2 linked regions of the Arabidopsis thaliana genome follow. The protein of the gene in region 2 purifies or fractionates together with the protein of the main gene of each other region. This does not show direct contact. Each region holds a gene or a part of one and is shown on either strand. Other genes may lie near its edges.

The links.
Region 1: the proteins of CPSF73-I (region 2) and CLPS3 purify together in Arabidopsis thaliana (affinity purification with western blotting, with the first as the bait; one study listed by BioGRID). This does not show direct contact.

What each region holds. Positions count from the first base shown.
Region 1 is NC_003074.8:1,269,007-1,274,652, forward strand, and holds CLPS3 (CLP-similar protein 3), read right to left. Parts: upstream 3,999-5,646; 5' UTR 3,799-3,998; exon of another isoform or gene 3,518-3,798; 5' UTR 3,410-3,517; coding exon 3,188-3,409; intron 2,708-3,187; coding exon 2,639-2,707; intron 2,558-2,638; coding exon 2,462-2,557; intron 2,377-2,461; coding exon 2,135-2,376; intron 2,050-2,134; coding exon 1,911-2,049; intron 1,803-1,910; coding exon 1,611-1,802; intron 1,524-1,610; coding exon 1,285-1,523; intron 1,183-1,284; coding exon 1,047-1,182; 3' UTR 755-1,046; downstream 1-754. Other genes in the region: ANX1 (Malectin/receptor-like protein kinase family protein), read right to left, coding at 4,380-5,646. UniProt on the Arabidopsis thaliana protein: Required for endonucleolytic cleavage during polyadenylation-dependent pre-mRNA 3'-end formation. Functions in gametophyte, embryo and postembryotic development.
Region 2 is NC_003070.9:22,473,655-22,479,854, forward strand, and holds CPSF73-I (cleavage and polyadenylation specificity factor 73-I), read right to left. Parts: upstream 4,112-6,200; 5' UTR 4,007-4,111; coding exon 3,863-4,006; intron 3,771-3,862; coding exon 3,673-3,770; intron 3,366-3,672; coding exon 3,320-3,365; intron 3,231-3,319; coding exon 3,081-3,230; intron 2,944-3,080; coding exon 1,300-2,943; 3' UTR 1,276-1,299; exon of another isoform or gene 1,016-1,275; 3' UTR 976-1,015; exon of another isoform or gene 894-975; 3' UTR 613-893; downstream 1-612. Other genes in the region: AT1G61000 (kinetochore protein), read right to left, coding at 229-392; AT1G61030 (WAPL (Wings apart-like protein regulation of heterochromatin) protein), read left to right, coding at 4,315-4,724, 4,828-4,927, 5,030-5,369, 5,583-5,695, 6,060-6,188. UniProt on the Arabidopsis thaliana protein: Component of the cleavage and polyadenylation specificity factor (CPSF) complex that play a key role in pre-mRNA 3'-end formation, recognizing the AAUAAA signal sequence and interacting with poly(A) polymerase and other factors to bring about cleavage and poly(A) addition.

The sequences.
Region 1 (5,646 bases), on a different chromosome or scaffold from region 2:
TTTTTATTTAACTATTTCTCGATTGTCATGAAATGGAAATAACGTCCATTGTGGAACCCACGTGTCTCCCGTTGATTTCGAATTCCGAGCACGGAGTTAGAAAAGTAACGGTATAGATTTCGACACGTGCCCTATCTCATCTGGTCGTCTCTCTAGCACGTTGTATCACGAATCACGATTGTTGACTAGCTCTTTTTTGTTTTCTTTCTTTCTGTTTTTTTTTTTGTGTTTGTTGTTCTTGTTGTTAATTATACGATATTTTTATTATTCTTGTTTTATCATATTCACAATGATAAGTGAAACTTTCTTCTTATATCTATAAATCTCTAATCATCAGTCAAATGATTGAAATTTTCTGTATTTAATGTGCAGGGTTAAAAAAAAAAATGAGGCTATTAAAGCATATAGAAGATCTTGTAGCATGTAAATTTAGAATTTTCTAAATATGTTTTGTCTATTGCAAATGAATGACAATTTTAACATTTTGAACTCAAAACATATCCGTTTTAATTATCTTTCAATTGAATTAGCATAAGAATAAAATATTCTTTTCTATTCTAGGAGAATCATATAAGATTAATGCGACTTGGTTAGACAGACCAACTAATATTCTTCGGATCCGATTCTAAATACAGAGCTTATACAACAATACAATTGAAGTGACTTAAAATGTGATAGTAATTTAGTTGAATTAATAACCAATAATAATACATGTGTGACTTTGAACATTATCATATACTATTTCGAAATCATCCAATAACATAAGATATGTTCGACCTATCAAATTTAAAAATGCTACACACATCACTTGAATATGCTGAACCAAACAAACAGAACTAACGCACTAGTAAATCAACATTATTTTTTGCTCACTTCATAACATCAAATTACAACCAACCATCTATTCCGCAATAATGATCTTTTAAACTCAAAAACTTGTGCATTTGATAAAGAAGAAAAAGGCTATTTGTAATTAACGTTACATAATCGAGCTGCTGCATCATTCTCTCAAGCAAAAAACATGGCTCCTCTCTTCTCTAAGTAAGTCATACTGACTCAAGCCATGCCAATGATCCAGCGACCAACAACTTGCTAGGTAATGTCCCAGGCGATGGTGCTAAATACGTTATCTTCTTCTTCTGCACATTAACTTCCGTCACATACACAAACCCAGAAACATTGCTGTATCAAAGAAAAAACAGAGAGAAAGAAATATCAAAATCACGAAGAAAACATACACGAAAGCCTTTGATTCTGGAAACAGCAAGAACTTTTAGAGATTACCTTGAGATGATCTGGTCTGGTTCTTCTGCGTATGAGACAGCAAGAACAGAATGCAGCAGATCCCGATCATCGATATTTACAGGCGTCACCCGCAACGGATTTGAAACCGAGGTAGACCCGGCTGGAAGAGCCGATTTTGGCGCTTGTGGTCCACCACCAATTCGGAACACTTGCAGATCACTGAAACTCGATGTATTGGCATACGGAGAGAGTTCTTTCGATAAACCGTAAAAATATTCCTGGAAAATTCAGTTTTTGAGTTCTGAGTTACACCTCCAAAGGCATGAAAAAAGGGATATTAAAAGATTTGAGATTGAAAATTTTACCTGAATCTTAAAGTTCCTTGATCTTTTACGGACCTCTTTGACCCTGGCTACAACTCCACCAGACTTGTGAAGCTTCACGACGTCGACATTACTCTTACTTCTCAGCACATCTTTAAGCCTGCTGAAGAGTTTTTCCTGACCCAATACAAGTACAACCGAGGCATTGAATGTGTCTATTGCGTGGAGAAGCAGCTGCAAGACGAAGCAGATACAGTTCTTTATCAGGCATTTGCATAATGAAATCCACTAAGAAGGAGCTAACTATACCAAAAAATACGCTAAAAAGGATCTAACTTTTACCTCATAACCAATCCCCTCGATCCATCCCATTGTGTTGATCACCATTCCAGCAGCTCGCGATTCAGGGTTTCCGACAAACTGTTTCTCCAGAACTTGAGCAAGCTCTTTCACCAGAGCTTTGTACAGTTCAACGTTCATACTGAGAGAGCCAAAGTAGACATATTTAAATTCCTCATCGAGGGGAATAACGTATGATGGGTAGGAGAAATTTGAGAATCACTTACTTTGGTGATGCGTGGCCGTAGTAGTAAACAAGGGCCATATCAAGAGGAAACCCTTCAACTGGATCCAGTGGCATTTCAATAGGGGCAGCAGCAATAGATCCTGGTATTGTAATCGAGCCTTGGCCAACATCAAGGTCTACAAATGTAGGTCTCCATCCCTGTTTAGCTGCCCAACTAAGGAGCATCTTTGTCAATGTGCTCTTCCCGGAATCCGTAGGCCCTACTACAATAACCCGAGGTCCCTGCATTAAGTGAATTCTTAAGAACCAAGTGTTTTAACTATGCTGATATTGCAATACAATAATATTGAATATCGAAGAAAAGTACCTGAGAAGATTCTGGGTCATTAGATGTGGAAGCTTTGGCAAAACGTCTCCTTGCATCTAGTATGGCATGCACATTAATGTAGCTGACCATCGGCGTCTGGAAACAGAGATGTAGTTAGTAAACAAAATTTGCTCTACATATTTAAAGCAAGCGTAGGAATGAAACAAGTAATCCAACCTCATCTGCTGTATAGTCAGTTTCCGTGACACCATCCATCTCAATTGTCGCTCCATACCAAGTGAAAACCTGACAATAATCAAAAGGCACAAGATGGTAAGCACGGTGTTTCAGAGCTCCGATTATGAACTTTACATAAATCATTAGCAGAAGGAAAAATAGAAAAGAAAGAAATTGGGGGGGAAAATCACATCTATCATCAATCTTTTTATACAACCCACTTAACAATTCTTACCTAGACAGCATAATCTTCATTTACAACCTAAATCATAAGTCTTTCATCCAACTCAAACCCAAAAACCCTCAAACTTCACTGGCAAAGGATGTACCTTTCCAACCCCAAAAGGCCAGAGGGTGAATTCAATAGTAACTCAAGAACCCACTTTAAGAAAGATAACCACTAAAAGAAACTAAATCAAGAATGGCTAGTTATTTTCTACCAACAAACCCAACACCAAATATGTTACCAACAAGCTACATTTTATCTATAAGCCATAAAGCATAATGCTTACGATCGCTCTAAAAACCAAGGATTAAGAAAACACATACCGCAAATTTCATGCGAGGAGGGAAGGTACGCCATATTTCAGGAGGCAGTTCAGAGCCAAAAATCTCAGCGGTCCCGTTAACCACACGGAGTCTGAGAGGCTCTTCAGAGACTTCGATCCTGAGCTCGCTTTCTCTCTCCAATTTCACTTGCTTCAGATTAGCAGACCCGGGAACAGCTCCACTCAAAGCCGGTGGATTCATGGACGGACCACCGTACGCCATTGCTTTCACTCAGAGTAAGATATAATTGTAGACTATCTATCACTCGGAGTAACAGGAGCTCTCTTTAAGTCATTATACACACTTGCGCTTGTAATCGCTCTTCTTCTTCTTAAAAACAAAAGTATAATCAAGTTAATCTCTGCAAACAGAAAAGAAAAATGCAAACTTTACTAGATTTAAACAGCCAATCTTGACCCCGGAATTATAAAAGCACAACAGAGATCAATTTCAAACAACCAATGTATCAAAATTCATCACTAGAGTAACAATCATATATATATAAGAGAAAGTAATAGAACAGCAACAGAGAAAGAAAAACGAGAGCCATCGATTTCTGTACCCAGAAATCGAAAAAGAGAGAACGAGAGAGCAAAAAGAAGACGAATTACCAAAAAAAGGGTCAATGGAGGGAAGACTGAAGGCGGCGAAAGAATGAACGGCGATTCTACGGCGAGGAGAAACGGACGTCGGAGATTCGCAAACGTGTGTGTGTGTTTGAGGAGAAACAGTGAATTCGACTTACGAAATCAATTTACTTTAGGTTTATATCGCTGTAATTTCCATTTTTTCGATTAAGGCAAAATTGGAAAACGAATTAATCCCGGTTTGAGCCGTTAACCGACCTGAACAACCTTTTCCATTTTTCTACTATACAGTTTTCCGGTTAATATAATAATTTGTTTCTAGCTTAATAAACTCAGTAAAATATAACTTAATACAAAAATTTACCATAGAAAAATTCTAACTACGAATCTTAATACAATGTATTTTTGATTACATGTAACATCACAAAGGGATATAATTTTACAAATGTTTTTATTGAAAAATACCACTCAATATAAATGAAATCATCTTCAAATTTTGTTACCCAGATTCCTTTTCTAATCCTGCAATTAACACAAAAACAAAAACTTTAACACCAAAATTAAGAGAAGAAAAACAAAATTAGTATACGTATTGCGAAATTACCTTATCGTCCTTTGGGATTTACAATCTGAGAGAATATTTCGGTATTGTCCTCTGAGGAGAGATCACTCACATCATCTCTACCGGCGACGTTAACCGCCATGCCTCCTCTACCGAGATCCTCAGAGCTTCCTCCATTATTCGGAGTCCGATGACGAGTCCCGTCAGCAGTCTCTTGAAGCTGAAGTGCGAATTCGAGATTCCACAAAACATCTCCCATTGTCGGCCGTTCTAATCCACTATCGTTAAGACACTTCTCCGCCGTGTCTGCAAATTTCTTCAAACACTCTGCATTGATCTTCCCTTTCAGATTCGGATCGATTATATCCTCTAAATTCCCTTTTCGTTTGCAATTCATTGCCCAGTCTCCGAGACTCACTTGTTCCTTAGGCAAACTCGGGTTTAACGCTGGTCTTGCGCATAAGATTTCGAACAGAACAACTCCGAATGAGTAAACGTCTGATTTCTCAGTCAGTTGTTGTCTTCTGAAGTATTCAGGATCTAAATAACCGAAGCTTCCTTTGACGACGGTTGTTACATGGCCTCCATTCATGTTAGGTCCAGTTTTGGATAACCCAAAGTCTGAAACTTTGGCTACCCAGTTCTCATCTACGAGGATGTTAGTTGTTTTAACGTCTCTGTGTATAATCGTGTACTTTGCTCCTGTGTGAAGGTAATGTAATCCTCTTGCTGCTCCAATAGCTATCTCTAGCCTTCGTTTCCAAGTTAATTGTGGTTTCTTTGTGTTGTATAGATGCTCACGGAGTGTTCCAAATGCCATGTAATCGTATACGAGACACATTTCTCCTCCCTCGTCGCAGTATCCTATCAAGGAGACTAAGTGTTTGTGTCTTAGTCTTGAGAGGAGTTCGATTTCTGTCTCGAATTCGTTGAGTCCTTGTTCTGAATTTGGGTTTGATTTTTTTACCGCTACTTTAGTTGTGCCGTCTATAACTCCTTTGTAGACTTTACCAAACCCTCCAACTCCAATGACGTTGGAATCATCGAAGTTTTGTGTTCCGTGTTTGATTTCTGGTAAAGAGAATCTACGGCATAAACCTGCTGCGAGATTGGATAGGTGACTTCCATTGTTGCTCTTCCCTGAGATGGTTGATTTGGTTCCTGATGTGGTAGAGTTTCCATATATAGGAAGCCAACTTGATGTGTGAGAGTCGCCTCCTTGATATCCTTGTTTCTTCTTGTAGGCCGTGAAACACAAGGCACCGATTAAAACCGCTAAAACTCCTCCGGCCGAACCAATGATGAAAGCG
Region 2 (6,200 bases):
AAAAGAAGCATCATCAGAAATTCCCCCAAATTGAAACAAAAAATAGGGTTTTCAAAATTACTTAGCAGTTCATACAATCAAAAATAGAAAATCCCAAAGATTCAATATTTAACATAATTTCTGACAGAATTCGATGACCTAGCTCGAAACTAGACGAAGAGTTTCAAAATCGAGGGTAAAATTGAGTGAAGAGCTAAGAGAGGAACTAGGGTTTTGAGGAGTACATACTCGTCGAGGGCGTCGAGATAGATAAGAATTCTGGTGTAAAGCTCGGAGACAAAGTCGGAAGTTGGGGTTTTGAGATCGGTCTCTGTAACGCTAGCGATTTGAGCATCCTTGAGCGCCGTGATAATGTCGGAACGAGAGAGCCTCGGGTACTCGTAGGCTGACATAGTTTTCAGTTTTGGTCAGGTTCGGATTTGTTGTGTCTGGATTCGAAGAAACTGAAAATGACAATTTGGAAAGAAATGAAAAAAAAAAAAGAGAGCCTTTGATTTTAGTTGGGTCAGGTTCGATTTGTTTTTTGCATTTGCTTTTCCCGCCTATATGAAACTGCAGTCTCTGCAGATATTGATGCATATTTGGATACGGTAGAACGTAGAAGCTTTTATAAATAAAATTAAAAAAGAAACTTTAATCTACAAAAAAAAAAATTAAGCATTTTAATATTGTAGAGATTTGGTCTTAATATCTTGATGCACTAGACATCTTGCCAAAACATAGAGGTCAAGAGACATTCACTGATGTGAATAATGTATACTTTGTACGTGGAAAAATAATAGAAAATGTGCTCATTACAATCTCTCTTCTACCTTACTTTAGCTCAATCAGACCTGCCTTGTACTTTAGAGGCTTGGTAGAAACGCATCAAACGACACCGTGTATTCATGAAACTGCAAATATCAAAAGCAAGGCTCACTAATATGTCTTACAAAGAATCTGGAAGAAGCCTAGTACTTTTTTAACTTTAGAAACCTCTTAACTTGATGCACCACAAAGCTTTTGCTTCCATATCCTAGATCAGCATAATGATAGAAAAATGCATATGGGAAAAGCACGAATCAGCAAAATGATTTATGAAAAAACCTAAAAAAGTTAAAAACTCATAGTTGATAACATCCATAAGACTTGATCATTATCACAGTAGGGTAGTAGCAAAGTTTCTCAATAAACACCTTCTTAAATAACATCCATTAGACTTGATCATTCACTATTACTAAACATGGGAACAGAAACATCATCAGATGGATAAAACTCTATGATGATTTAAGATACCTCAACGATGACTTTAAAAAGCTACTAAGAAGCTGAGAGAGGGATTGGTTTCACAGCGCTCTGAATCCGCTCAAAAGCTACTCTCACTCTTTCCTTAAGACCTGAATGCTCACTCTCTACCTCTCCACTCTCTTTATCCAGCTGAGCGACATTGCCATCGACCCTAATCACCAGTTTCCCGTTTTCTCCTAGTTTCACATCCCCGAAAAGCGAAACAAGAAGTGCGTATATCACTTTCTCAACTTTCTTCCCGTTCTCTTCCTCGGATTTCACAGCATCTTCTTCTTCCATAACGATCTTGGGGACTTCTCGGCTGATGTTGAGAATCAGAGCTACAATGGAGTCTGAAACCATGTCACTTATTGGATCTGATGACCACTGAAGTGAGATGTGCTTCTCTGACTCTTGTTTCACCGTTACTCTTTCATGAACTTTCAGTGCTGGAAGCCCCGATTCCTCATCTGTTGAAAATTCCACGCTCTCGAAAATCTTCTCCAGGCGATGTTTTATCACACCAAAAGCTCCTACAAACGGGATTGTAATTCGCTGAGTTACAGTTGCTGTTGATAGCTGTGAGAAAACATGGAGTTCGTCAGGTGCCATTATCTGATAAGTGAACCCTTTCTTCACCAGAATCCCGCTTACTGTATCGCCAACATCAGGTGTCTTTTCCGCCAATCTCCCAATGGTTTTCGCCAATTTCTCAGAATTAAAATACATTTCCACTGACTCACAGTTCTTCGGGGTCATGATCTTTGTGTTTCCATCAGGAAACTCTGTTAAGAGCTTCTGTTTGAGCCTCATCATCTCGTTAGCTTCACCGTGAACAAGGATGATGTTAGGAGGCATGAGCTCTTTCAAGAACGTGCTCGTCTGCGCGTAATCTGCATGAGCAGAGAACGATATATAGTGCACTTGCATGTTGAGCGGAGCAGTAAGACCATTCATAAGAGTCACCTCCTTTGGTTCATTAATTATCGTCTTGGCCAGTGTACCTTCCACCATATAACCTGGTATGATACAAGCATTCTTCTTATCTGAACACCAGCTGTCAAAGAGTTGCCTTGAGAGACCGCTTTGAAGACCTCCAGGAGTAGCCATTACCACAGATGGACCGACATCATTAAAATCATCGATGCTGTTTAATGGAGAAATGTGCTTGAACACAAACGGATTAGAATTTGCAAACTGGTTGCGGATTCTGTCGTTCATAGATAATATGTAGGTTTGGTAAACCGCCATACACTTTTTGGCGAGTGGTGATGCATAGTAGATTGGGATATTGTGTAGATCTGGGTGGTTCGCCCAGTATTCATCAAGAATCAAGAGAAGTTCCTGAGCACGGCCCAGTGCAAAAGCCGGGATCAGCACACGTCCACCCTGAGCAACCGTTGAATGGATTACATCAGTGAAGCGTTTCTCACGAATATGACGAGATTGATGAAGCTGGACACCAGAAGTGGATTCAATGATGCATATGTCAGGGGAGAATTGAGGAAGCTCAGCTGCTCTCAGATGTCGGTCTTCCTCACGGGAATAGTCGCCTGTATAGAGGATTCGGACACCAGCTATATCCACCATAAACATGGCTGCACCCAAAACATGGCCTGCCGTGTAACACCAGAACTTTATGCCATTCACTTCAACTGTTTGATGGAAGTCAATTACCTATAGAGGAAATCAAATATAAACCTTAACTCAACAATCACAGTTTTGAAGCAGATTTAATTTCTTTTGAACTTATCCCAAACCTAGTGGAGCAGTCAAAGTATAAACATAGTCATAGAATATAATGCAGTACTAACCTCAATTTTGTCCATAGACTTGTTGATGTCTTGTTCATCGAACAACATATCTTCCACAGACACTTTGCTCACTTTTACATAATCTGTAAGCAACAGCTTGTAGATGGCCTTTGTTGCATGTGTCATGAAAACCCGCCCATTGAATGTCGTCTGATCAAAACATCAATAACCTGAATTAGTTCTCAGCTATGTTTTAACACATCCCAAAAAACAAAATCATTTTGAAAAGAGAAACAAACCTTCTCCAGAAAATAAGGTAGAGATGCTGCATGATCTATATGAAAGCTGCAACCAAAAGCATCAACACATTATATGTTATCTTAACCCAATAAACCTCTTACACAAAACACAAACTCTTTCAAGTAGACAAACAGAGACAGAACAAACTCTAGCCTCCTACAAGCTTGAACTAATTAATCCAAGAAGGTCTCTCTACTACACATCATCCTTCTGTTTTTGTATAAACAAACTTAAACTTCGAAGATTTTGCTCAAATTATCATTCTATTCAAATCAAGACTATCATTTTCTCTTCAAAGTTTCAATTTTTCTTAATGGGTATTAGCCAAAAGAGGAAGAAGAAGGAAACATACTGAGTAATCAAGAGGACATCAATGGAAGAAGGATCAATCTCATCGAAGTAAGGCAACGCAGCCATGCCCGAGTACGCAGGATGAATCCCACAATCAAACTGCACAACACAACCAAAATCAACTATAAGACATGCCCCAACAACAAAATCAAAACACATTTGCTTGATTAGAACAAAACGGAGAAGCTGACCAGAATATTTTTGCCTCGGAAGGACATGTAAACACAGGAACGACCCACTTCACTTCCGGCTCCTAACGGAGTAACGATAAGTTGATCTCCATCTCGCGAAATTGGTTGCTCTCTTCTTTTCAGAGAAGTAGAAGAAGAAGCCATGTTTCGTCTTTCTCGATTTTCCTCCAAGAGAAGAAGAAACTCAAAGAACTGAGTACAGCAATTTCAGTTAGTGTATATCTTCAAACCCTAAAAGCCTTTAAAAAAAAAAAAACGACCACAGTGGGAGTCGAACCCACGACCTTCTGATCCGAAGTCAGACGCGCTAATCCACTGCGCTATGCGGTCAATACATAGCAATTGAAAATATTATATTTATATAGAAAGTCATATTATATACCGAAAATACCCTTGTCTTATTTTGTCACTCAAATCTGCGAACGAAGAGAAAATTCGAAGCTTTCTCGGCGATGATGGAGCGAACTTACGGCCGTCGCAAGCCGGGGATGTTAAACGACGACGTCTCGCGGGCGGAACATATTTTTCCGTCTTCTTCATCTCCAGAACTCGAGCCAGTTGATTTCTCAACTCAAGAATCATCTTGTGTCTGGAATTATTCTTCAAGATCCACTTTTTCGGATAATGATTTTTCTGAGAAGAGGAACAAGAGACCCAGAAACGGTGGTGGAGGGTTTGGTTCGAATTCGACTTTGATGGAGGCTCAAGAGTTCGGCGAGTTAATTGAGAATGAGGACGAAGTTAACTTCGCTCTTGATGGGTTGAAGAAAGGACATAAAGTTAGGATCAGAAGAGCTGCTTTGTCCTCTCTACTCTCGATTTGTGAATCTCAGTATCAGCGACGCTCTTTGAGAGCTTTAGGGTATGTTTATTTACTTAAGATTTTCAGTATCTTCCTTTCTAGACTTTCTAGGGTTTGTTTGAAGTCGAGTTCTTTTAAAAGTTTCTGAATTTTGTTATTTCAGGATCTCACAGTCCATAATTGATGCGATTTTGGGTCTTTGCCTTGATGACATACCAAGCAATCTTGCTGCAGCTACCCTTTTCTTTGTGCTAACTACTGATGTAAGTAACTTATTTGCATTGTGAAATCTGCTTGTGATGCTCTTTTCTCTTGCTCCATTGGCATTTTTCTCTTGTTTACTAGTTTTATGTTCATGATTCTAGGGTCAAGATGATCACTTTATGGAGTCACCCAACTCCATCAAGTTTTTGGTTAAGCTGTTGAGACCTGTGGTTTCTGCCAGTACTAAAGTAAAGCCGCGGAATATAGGATCTAGGCTCTTATCAATAATCAAGGATGTTGATGCAGCACGTGATGCAGCCAGTATGCATGATTTAAGCTCCTGTGATATAATTGACAGAGCTCAGGAAATTCTTGTTAATTGCAAGGAGTTGAGATTGATTGATAGCTATAAAATCGAGAGGATGAGGCCTGAGCTAAGTACGAAATGGGTAGCTTTGTTGGTGATGGAGAAGGCGTGCTTGTCCAAAATCTCTTTTGATGGTACTTTAACTTCCTGTCTGTTTTGCTGGAACAATGACTAGCTAACTATTTAAGACGCATCTGGTATATTATATTGAGTTATAGAATTGGAAAGTTATGTTATCTGCTTCAGTGAATCAGTTTAACAAATGTGTCAGCGGTAATAGAATCCTACGACCAGATTATAATTGATTTATAAATTTCTAATTATTGATATTATCATTCCCCATCCAGATACCTCTGGTACTGTGAAAAAATCTGGAGGAATGTTCAAGGAGAAACTGAGAGAACTTGGAGGACTTGATGCTGTCTTTGATGTTGTTATGGATTGCCACACTGTAATGGAGGTGTGAACCTGTATGTTATAGGGATCTTGCTATATATGTCTTTATTTGGCTAGGACGTCAATAACTTGTGTAAAGTGTCGTAGATTGGTAGCTTTATAATTGTTTGCTATCTTCAGGTTCATGTTTTATTTCAATCTAATTTATTGCTGAAAATCGTTGCAAGTCAAGGTTCTTTTCTTGTCCTTGGGCAAGAGAATTCTCTTGTTTGTGTAACACAGTTTAATGTTATTGTGACTGCGTTTGTTGTGGACAAGTTGGATGTCTGTCTTAGTGGTGGCAAAGACTCTGTACTTAAGTTGTCAATAGTTACTGGACCTTTGCAACTGTATTTAATAAGAGTCTCTATTGCATATTTTGTTTGCAGAGCTGGGTGACTCATGACACACTCTCTGTCGAGGATATAAAAGATGACTTGAATAAGCAGAGTCTGATGTTACTTCTGAAATGTCTAAAAATCATGGAGAATGCTACATTCCTCAGCACAGAAAACCAGGTAACTTTTATT